Caenorhabditis elegans: one gene and its partner. The protein of the gene in region 1 interacts with the protein of each later gene in a pairwise test. Each region holds a gene or a part of one and is shown in the gene's direction. Other genes may lie near its edges.

Region 1 (6,827 bases):
AGAACAAAATAATTATCAAAAATAATGTTTTTTTCCCGATCGCTTTTTTTTCAATTCTAGCCCACCCACCCACGCATTTTTTGCAATTTTTTAAATACTTCCTACCCGAACAACCGTGCCTTTATCTCTGAAAATCTCCTCACTTTATATGTTTTGATTTTTCTCGAAAAATTCTTTCAATTCAATTCTGACGTGGTGTCAGAGTGTCTCATTTCGGCTTGATCTACGTTGATCTACAAAAAAAAGTGCGGGGAAATGGAGGCAGAGTTCTCAACTCATTTTGCAACAAAAAAAATTCCCGCATTTTTTGTAGATCAAACCGTAATGGGACAGCCTCTGGCACCACGTGTATTCTATTCTATGATCTTTTGAGCTATTCACACCAATTTACACATACAATTTTCGAATTTTGCATCTGAACTCCCTTACCTCATTGAATATAAAAATTATTTAACTTTTTTTTTTGGAAAATTTTTGTTTTTTTTTTCGGTTTTTTATCCGAATTTCTACTATTTTGGGTTTTAAAAATTTTAGTTTAAAGGTACAGTCAAACTTTTTTTTTCTTCAAATTTGGGCGGCAATTGCCGTTCGGCAAATCGCGGAAATTGCCGGTTTGCCGGAAATTTTCAATTTCGGTAATTTGCCGATTCGCCGGAATAATTCAATTCCGGCAATTTGACTATTTGCCGGAAATTTTCATTTTCGGCAAATTGCCGATTTGCCGGAGATGCTCAATTCTGGCAGTTTGCCGATTTGCCGGAAATTTAAATTCTGGTAGTTTGCCTATTTGCCGGAAATTTTCAATTTCGGCAAATTGTTGATTTGCCGGAAATTTCAATTTTCGATAATTTGCCGATTTGCCGGAAATGTTCAATTCCGGCAATTTGACTATTTGCCGGAAATTTTTAATTTCGGCAATTTCTCGATTTGCCGGAAATTTCAATTTTCGATAATTTGCCGATTTGCCGGTAATTTTTCTTTGTCGGCAACTTCTCGATTTGCCGGAAATGTTCAATTTTGGCAATTTGCCGAAAATGTTCAATTCTGGCAATTTGCCGATTATGCCGGAATTTTCAATTTCTGCAGTTTGCCGATTTGCCGGAGATGCTCAATTCTGGCAATTTGCCGGAAATTTCAATTCCGGCAAATGGCCGGTTTGTCGACTTGCCGATTTGCCGGAAATTCATTTTCTTTATTTTCGGGCTAAATTCTTCGGTTTATTTTGTTAACTTTTTCTTCTGTTATTTATAAAAAAATTTAAAAAAAATTTCCGCCAAATTGCCGGAATTGACCCTTTCTGGCAAATCGGCAAATCGCCAGAATTGAAAATTTTCTGGCAAGTCGACAAATTGCCGGAATTAAAAATTTCCGGCAAATTGTGCTTTTTCACATTTTTGATTTTTCAAAAATTAAAAAAAATTTTTTAGTTTTTTTACAGTCATATTCGGTCATTAGAGTCTATTTTCTGCCAAAAAAAAAAAAACAGAAAAATTTTTTTAAAATAAATAAATAAAATTTTTTCGACTCTCCTCCACCTATTATAACTTAATCTCATTCAGAAATGGGAGAACCTTCACCTAGTCGGCGTCGATCAATCACCTCAGGAATACCATGCCCGTCACCAACGAAACAAGTCCTACCGCCACCGCCACCAGAAGAATTGCACAATATTCTACGAAAACGGCCACGGAGCAGCGCCATTCCGACGACGAGCCAGACTCATGTGAGAGCTCCACGTAAGGAGACGGATGTTGTCGATCGGATTTGGCACGATATTGACGAGGAGCAACGAGAAAAGCTGGCTCGGCGGAAGGAAGAAGCCGCCAAGAGAAAAGAGCAACAGCCGGCTCAACACATCAGGGACTATTTGCCATTGACTGCGACAAATTTGAGGAATTTCCGGAATGAAGACTCGACGATCAGTGATTTTATACATCGGCAGGGGATGGTTGACAAGCTGCTCGGCTACAAAATGCTGCTGGGAAAAATGGAGAACTGCGGGACGCTGGGCTACGAGAAAATGAGCGAAGACGAGGTTCAGCAGCTCTCCAGGGAATGGCTCAAAAACTTTTTCCCTTCAGAGCAAGCCCACGTCGGCCCACGTACCCCACCGAGCCCCGCCGTCGATTCTGATGGTGGTAGTTATCCGAAACGGCCTCGTCGAGGCCCGAAAACTCCTCCCGGATCTCCTGGGCCTTCGATGGATCAGGCGGCCGTGAATCGACGGGAGCTCATCGAGCAACTTGCGAGAAATTTTGGAATTAGTTCGTATAAAGTGGAGGAGACACTTGGCACTGGGTTGGACAAGGCGCTTGAGGATTGCTCGAAAAAGTTGAAGAATGAGCTGATGGAGACGTTTAAGGATCAGCTGTTGAGCCAGATTGATCGGAAAACTAAAATGTATGAGAGTTGGAATATCAATGAATTAGAGAATCCTATGTGAAAAAAATGTCAAAAATCGATAATTTCCATGAAAAATCGATAATTTCTATCAAAAATCGATAATTTTTATTTCTGAAAAACTCGATTTTTGATATAAATTATCGATTTTTGATTAAAATTATCGATTTTTGATAGAAAATATCAAAAATCGATAATTTCCATGAAAAATCGATAATTTCTATCAAAAATCGATAATTTTTATTTCTGAAAAACTCGATTTTTGATATAAATTATCGATTTTTGATTAAAATTATCGATTTTTGATAGAAAATATCAAAAATCGATAATTTCCATGAAAAATCGATAAATTTCATCAAAAATCGATAATTTGAATTTTAAAAATATCGATTTTTGGTATAAAATATCGATTTTTGATTAAAATTATCGATTTTTGATAGGAATTAACAAAAATCGATAATTTCTATCTTCACCGAAAAATCAATATTTTATCGATTTTTATAAATTTTTTGCAATAAAAAAAATCTATATTTTATCGATTTTTATAAATTTTTTGCAATAAAAAAATCAATATTTTATCGATTTTTATAAATTTTTTCATTAAAAATTAATATTTTATCCTTTTTTTCAACAAAAAACTAATAATTTATAAATAGATTTTTCCAGAATAAAAATCGATTTTTAATCATTTTTTCTTTAAAAAAATCAATATTTTACCGATTTTTAATCTTTTTTTCAGAAAAATCAATATTTTATCCTCTTTTTTGTTCAACAAAAAAACTAATAATTTATAAATAGATTTTTCCAGAATAAAAATCGATTTTTAATCATTTTTTCTTTAAAAAAAATCAATATTTTTCCGATTTTTAATCTTTTTTTCAGAAAAATCAATATTTTATCCTCTTTTTTGTTCAACAAAAAAAAAATAATTTTCAGATTTTTCGAGGAAAAAAATCGATTTTTCTGAATTGTTTTTTGCGATTTTTCAACAAAAAAAAACAATGTTTTCTAGATTTTTTAAACAAAAAATATCGATTTTTAACAATTTTTTCAATTTAATGAACATTAATCAACATTGGTAACAAAATCAATATTTTATCGATTAAAAAAATTGATTTTTTATCAATTTTTTAAGAAAAAAAATAAATGTGTTATCGATTTTTTTTTCAAAAAATTAACACCACTGTCGATTTTTCTGAATTTCTTTTTTGCAATTTTTCGGGATCCCAGGGAATCGAAAAATCGAAAAATTTGTTCGATGAAACCCTCATTTAAGATATTCTTTTTAAAAAGATATTAATTTTCAGTCGGGACGATTTATCGGATCAAATGGAGCTGGTCTCGGATTGCTCACTATCACCAGATTTGATAAAAAAGGAAGAACCAGACGTTGTGTATCATATGGCAGTACCACCACCACCTATACCTCCACCAATTCAGCCACCTCCTTATTCGTAAATTTTTTCCAGAAAAATTATTTTTTATTAAAAAAAAAGTTTTTTCAGTTACTACCCAGTAGCTCCAGCTGCTGCTCCACAAGTCTACCATTATGCTCCACCACCGCCACCACCGCCCCCGCATCCCCAGCAGGGGTTATATCAGCAGAATATGATGGCCTATGTAGGTGTTTTGTGGAAGCCTGGAGGCCCGGTTTTTGGAAAAAAATTGGTTTTTTTTTCAGAAAAAATTTAAAAAAAAACAAAACATTTTGATTTTTTTCCCCGAAAAAAAAAATTCAAAAAAAAGTTTCAAAACACAAACAAAAAATTCTGAAAAAAAAAAAGACGAAAAATTTAGATTTTTCCAGTAAAAATTTAAAAAACCCCCTAAAATTTTAGATTTAAAAAAAATTAAAAAACGAAAAATTTCGATTTTTTAAAAGAATAAAATCTAAAAACGAATAATTAAAAAATTTAAAAAAAAACGATTTTTTCAGTAAAAAAAATATAAAAATGACTAAAATCAAAAAACGGAAAATTAGAATTTTTCAGAGAAAAAAAACGGATTTTTTCAGTAAAAAGATAAAAAAAGTGATACATTTTTGATTTGATAGAAAAAAATATCGAAAAACAAATTTGTTTCATTTTTTCAGAAATTGTCAAAAAACGACAAATTTTTGGTTTTTTCATTTAAAACTATTCAAAAAAAGTAACATTTTTGATTTATTTTTAAAAAAATCGAAAAACAAATTTTTCATTTTTTTTCCAGAAAAATCAAAAAACCAATTTTTAGAAAAATAGATCAAAAAACAAAGGTTTTTTTTGGTTTTTTCAAAAAAAAATTTTTTTTTTAAATCAAAAAACGAAAAATTCGAATTTTCAGAGAAAAAACGGCATTTTTCAGTAAAGAGATAAAAAAGTGATACATTTTTGATTTATCTAAAAAAAAAATCGAAAAACGAAAATTTTCGATTTTTTCAGAAAAATATTAAAAAAACGGAATTTTTTTAGTGAAAAGCTTTTTTTTTCCGAAAAATCACTTTTTTTTGAGAAAAAATACCGGAAAACGGAAAATCGAAAAACTAAAAATTTCGATTTCTCAGCAAAAAAAAACTCGATTTTTTTTGAAAGATTCCCCAAAATTTTGGTCATTTTTCTTATTTTTAGACGTTATTTGTTTTGTTATAAAGTTATTTGTTTTCTTTCAATTCTGAGAATGCGTACTGCACAACATATTTGACGCGCAACATATTAAAATATCTCGTGGCGAAAACTACAGTAATCCCTTGAATGACTACTGTAGTGTCGATTTACGGGATCTCGATTTTCGAAAATTTTAATATTCTATCGACAAATAAATTGTATTAATTCTTTTTGAAAAACGAGCCCGTAAATCGACCTACAGTAGTCATTTAATGGGTTACTGTAGTTTTCGCTACGAGATATTTTGCGCGTCAAATATGTTGTGCAATACGCATTCTCAGAATTTAATAGTCCCGTTATAAAAATTTGAATTTTTTTTCGATTTTCTTCAATTTTTCGGTTTTCCGAAGTCAAAGTGTCTCATTTTGGTTTGATCTACCTAGATCTTCAAAAAATGCGGGAGAAGAGACGCAGACTTTTCAACTGATTTCGCATGGTTAAAAACGTGCTGACGTCACATTTTCATGGGAGAAAATTCCCGCATTTTTTGTAGATCAAACAGCAATGAGACAGCCTGACGCCACGTGTGATCCTTGATCTGATCCTTGAAATCCTGGGATTCATCAATCAATTTAAGTCTACTTTCTCTTTCAGCCCCCACCTATGCAACATTTCAATGCTCCACCGCCCCCAATGGCTCCGTATCAGCACCAGGCTCCTCCATCAATCGTCCTTCCACCGGTGAACGTTCCACCTCCACCGATTGGCGTCCGAATTGATACTCCAATTCCTACTGGCAAGACATTCCGATGAGTCGGATCCCCAAATAAGAAGAATCATTATTTCAGCAGTGCTGCCGATTCCAACGATGGTTCCACCACCTCCACTGCCACCACCACAAGCTCCATTCTCTGGAGATTGCTGGCGAGCACAGCCAGCGGCTCCGGTTCCGGCCTCCGTGCCAGTCAGTTCGGCACCACCACCATCAGTGGTTGTTAATGTACAAAGTACTCTATTCTCTGCTCTCGGGCTTCATCACAAGCCTCCACCTCCTCCTCCTCCACCTCCTCCTCCGACAACTTCTTCTACTACTACATCTCACATTCCACCACCACCTCCTCCTCCGCTTCCGTTCTCTTCGGCTCCGCCACCACCGCCACCGCTTCCGATGGTCGCTGCTGGTCCGTCTCCGCCGAGCTTTGTTCCTCCTCCTCCGCCTCCGAATCCGAATCAGAATCCGTCTATCGTTTTGTCACCATCGGCGGTAACCGGAGGCGGCGGCTACCGGCATCGTGTCAATCAGTTTCCGCCGCAGCAGCAGCAGTCGTTCTCGAACTTTTGAATCCTTTCACGTGGTGTCAGAATGTCTCATTTTGGCTTGATCTACGTTGATCTACAAAAAATGCGGGAGAAGAGACGCAGAGTTCTCCACAGAGCGGCTTTTACTACGTGGCCTAGAAAAATCGAAAACTCGGCCAATGATTTATCTGGGATTTTTGACGTGGGATGTTTTTGAAACTTGACGAGAATACTCTCGAAAGGGGGTTCTATAGTTCCACCGTGGCGATTTTTGAGAAAATGTTCCGTATCGATGTTATGAAGGTGGCCGAGTTTTCTTATTTTACGGCCACGTAGTAAAAACCGCTCTGTGTCTCAACTGATTTCGCATGGTTAAGAACGTGCTGACGTCACATATTTTTGGACGGAAAATTCCCGCATTTTTTGTAGATCAAACCATGATGGGACAGCCTCCGGCACCACGTGTCCTTTCTCATTTGCCTCTCTGTGAAAAATCTGTGAATCTTGAACATATTTGAAATATCGATTTTTTTCTCTTCATTTCCT
Region 2 (2,932 bases), on another chromosome or scaffold:
TCATTTTAAGATATAATTCGTCTATGTACCTGTTGAAAGAACTCAGATCGAACTCTTTTTGTGAAATTCAGTTATAATTTTTCGTTAAAAAGAGAAGCTAAAAGTTATTAATCTGAATTAAACGAGTCAAGACAGTGAATCTAGTTGATATTTGGTATTTTATTGAAACAATACACGTATAAAACATTTTATCATGGGTTTTTCGGCCCCAGGTTTGTTGGCACAGTATTTTATTTCTTGCCACATACTACTGTACGTTTGGGCTCAAATAAGCCATACAAAGTGCTGAACTATGAAGAATAATGTTTCAACATTACATTACTTACAAAAAATCAGGTATAAAGCAATGTTTTCAGTCTTTCTTGGCTTTTTTCAACATAACTTAGTATTACCATCATATTCTGTGCCTCAACTTAATCGTTACAAGTTTGAATTCTTGAGGAAACTGTATTTAAAACCTAGGTTACGGCTTTTCAAAACTCAAATGTATAAAAACGGTATCTTCTTAAGCTTTCGTTTTTACTTTCCAATACTTTCCTTTCAGTAAGGCTTGAAATTTTTGAAAGCTTCACTGCTAGTTTCCCACTTCACGATTTTCCATTTTCAACTTGTTAAAAACTGACAAGATCACAGAAAAAGCCACACTTCCATGATAAAACCACAGAAAATTAAAGAAATTGGGCTGAATGTCTCACATTTGGTGATTCTGGCACATGATCATTTCTCAAAACTTCAATTCAAAGATAAAATTGTTTGTGACCAAACCTTCATTTCTTATTTGGCTTTCAGGCTATATATTTAATTATATTTCTTAATTGTCTTCAAATTTTTGAGAGTTCCCCACTTTATGTAGTGAAAACAAAGATAAACTTCTTATTTTCTCAATTTTTCAATAAATTTAACCTTTTGCAGCAAGGTATTCTCTTTTTAACTGAGAAAACTATTTCAAAAATTCATTTCATCTTCTTTCCTTTGTTTTCTCAAGAAAAATTCATAACATAAATGTATTTTTTCTGCAAAAATAATTAGATATCCAGAAATGCGCCAGCACGCGAAAGGCGCATCGGTGAAACGCGCAAGCAATCTCCCTCCTTCTTTGTTTCCACCCGAGGAGACCGTGCGTTGGGATTTTTACAGTATTTACGAATATTTGTAACTTTTCATATAAAGTCGGCGTTTTAGAAGTAGGTTTCGCAAGTTTTTCTGTTTCGATAAATAAATCTCAAAATTTTAATATTTTGTAAATATTCATTTCTTCATTTTCGTATATCTCGTGCCTTTAAAGAAAAATCATTTTCCGCAAAAAACTATTTTTGAATACCCGCATCAATGAGGGCCTAACATTCCATGCGGCGGCCTAGAAAATTATGGACGCGTACTCCTCTCGGACGATTATTGTTTGAATGATTTTTTTTTATTTTCTTCAGTTTATCACCAAATTATTAGTCTTTTGCCCTTTCTTTGACAAAATTATATCGAAAAATATATTATGAGATTTACTAAAAACCTATTTACTCAATTCATTTTTGTTTGTTCTCAAATGATGCATTTTCAACAAATATTATGTTTTCAGAATGGAGTATTCATCAAAACTTCGTTTTGCGGTCAGTTGTTCCAGTAATATGAATCGTTCAATGGAAGCACATGGCATCTTAAAGTAAGCTATTGAAATAACTGAGAATTCTAGGATTTTTTTTTCAGAAAACGTGGCTTCAATATCGAATCGTATGGGTCTGGAAATCAAGTGAAAATGCCAGGACCAACAGTAGATAAGCCCAATTGTTATGAGTTTGGGCCAACGACGTATGAAGACATTTATGCGGATTTAACAAACAAAGATCTTCACTTGTTAGTTTTTTTTCGAAGTTTTGAAATAATATTCTGAAAATTGTTGTTCATTCCAATTTGAATATTTTCAGATACACACAAAACGGACTTCTTCATATGGTTGACCGAAATCGACGAATCAAATCTCGCCCACAGCGATTTCAAGCAGAAACTCGTGAATTCGACATTGTTCTTTGTTTGGAAGAAAGAGTTTTCGATCAGGTCTGTTGATTAAAAAAATGAACGCAAACATGTTTTAAAATTATTCAGGTCGTAGACTTCTTAAACCGCAGCGTTGGTAAATCTGGGAACCCAGTCCACGTTATCAACATCGACATTGAAGATAACGCAGAAGAAGCTACATTTGGAGCATTCTTCGTAGCTGATCTCTGCGAAAAGCTCGAAAGATCTGAAGACTTCGAAGAAGATATAGATCAAATAATCACCGACCTCGAAGAGAATAATCCAAAAAGAAACCTTCTCCACACAATATGTTTTTATTAATTTTTCAATGTTAATTAAATTATTATACGATGATATTTTTTTAAACCAACAAAAACAACACTGTTCATAACTTTGCATATAATAATCGCAAGGGGGAAAACACATTCATATTCAATAAGGCTCCGCACAAAACTTGCTCACTCTTCGTTTTCTTTTTTACATGCATTCTTGAGGACATTTTACCAGACCATCATTCTCATCTCATAACTTTTTCCAAATCAGCGAATAAGTTATATTTCAAAAGGATCTTCTGGCTCCACTATGATCCGAATTCCAACCAGGAAATTTTTTCGTACGCGTTTCTATAATTTTTTCCCAATTGTAAGAAAGCAATCGTGAAAAACACTCGAAAGAAACAAAATTTTGAAATTACAGTAATCTTAAAATACGCATTTGTATTTCACGAAAAATTTTCGTGCTGAGACCGGATTCCGTTTTTGGCACACAATTTTTCGTCCCCATAAAACATAAATCCAGGACTTTATATTACTTTACGAAGTGTTTCATCTGCATTTTTATATCTATATAAAATTTATTTACAACTCGTTCTGAGAAAGTTCTCACATTCTGCGTAATTTCCAATCACATATTCGCTGGTTTC

What was found. Proteins that work in one complex are often made in the same cells at the same time.
Region 2: the proteins of sydn-1 (region 1) and ssup-72 interact in a two-hybrid assay, tested with the Caenorhabditis elegans proteins (one study listed by BioGRID).

Annotation. Positions count from the first base shown.
Region 1 is NC_003279.8:2,376,586-2,383,412, reverse strand, and holds sydn-1 (Synaptic defective enhancer 1), read left to right. Parts: upstream 1-1,561; coding exon 1,562-2,400; intron 2,401-3,707; coding exon 3,708-3,854; intron 3,855-3,905; coding exon 3,906-4,020; intron 4,021-5,636; coding exon 5,637-5,778; intron 5,779-5,830; coding exon 5,831-6,324; downstream 6,325-6,827. UniProt on the Caenorhabditis elegans protein: Acts as a negative regulator of nuclear pre-mRNA 3'-end processing (mRNA polyadenylation). Plays a role in tissue-specific expression of protein isoforms by regulating differential processing of pre-mRNA 3'-end (alternative polyadenylation).
Region 2 is NC_003280.10:6,775,503-6,778,434, forward strand, and holds ssup-72 (RNA polymerase II subunit A C-terminal domain phosphatase ssup-72), read left to right. Parts: upstream 1-1,573; 5' UTR 1,574-1,574; coding exon 1,575-1,657; intron 1,658-1,701; coding exon 1,702-1,848; intron 1,849-1,919; coding exon 1,920-2,049; intron 2,050-2,097; coding exon 2,098-2,331; 3' UTR 2,332-2,387; downstream 2,388-2,932. UniProt on the Caenorhabditis elegans protein: Protein phosphatase that dephosphorylates 'Ser-5' of the heptad repeats YSPTSPS in the C-terminal domain of the large RNA polymerase II subunit ama-1.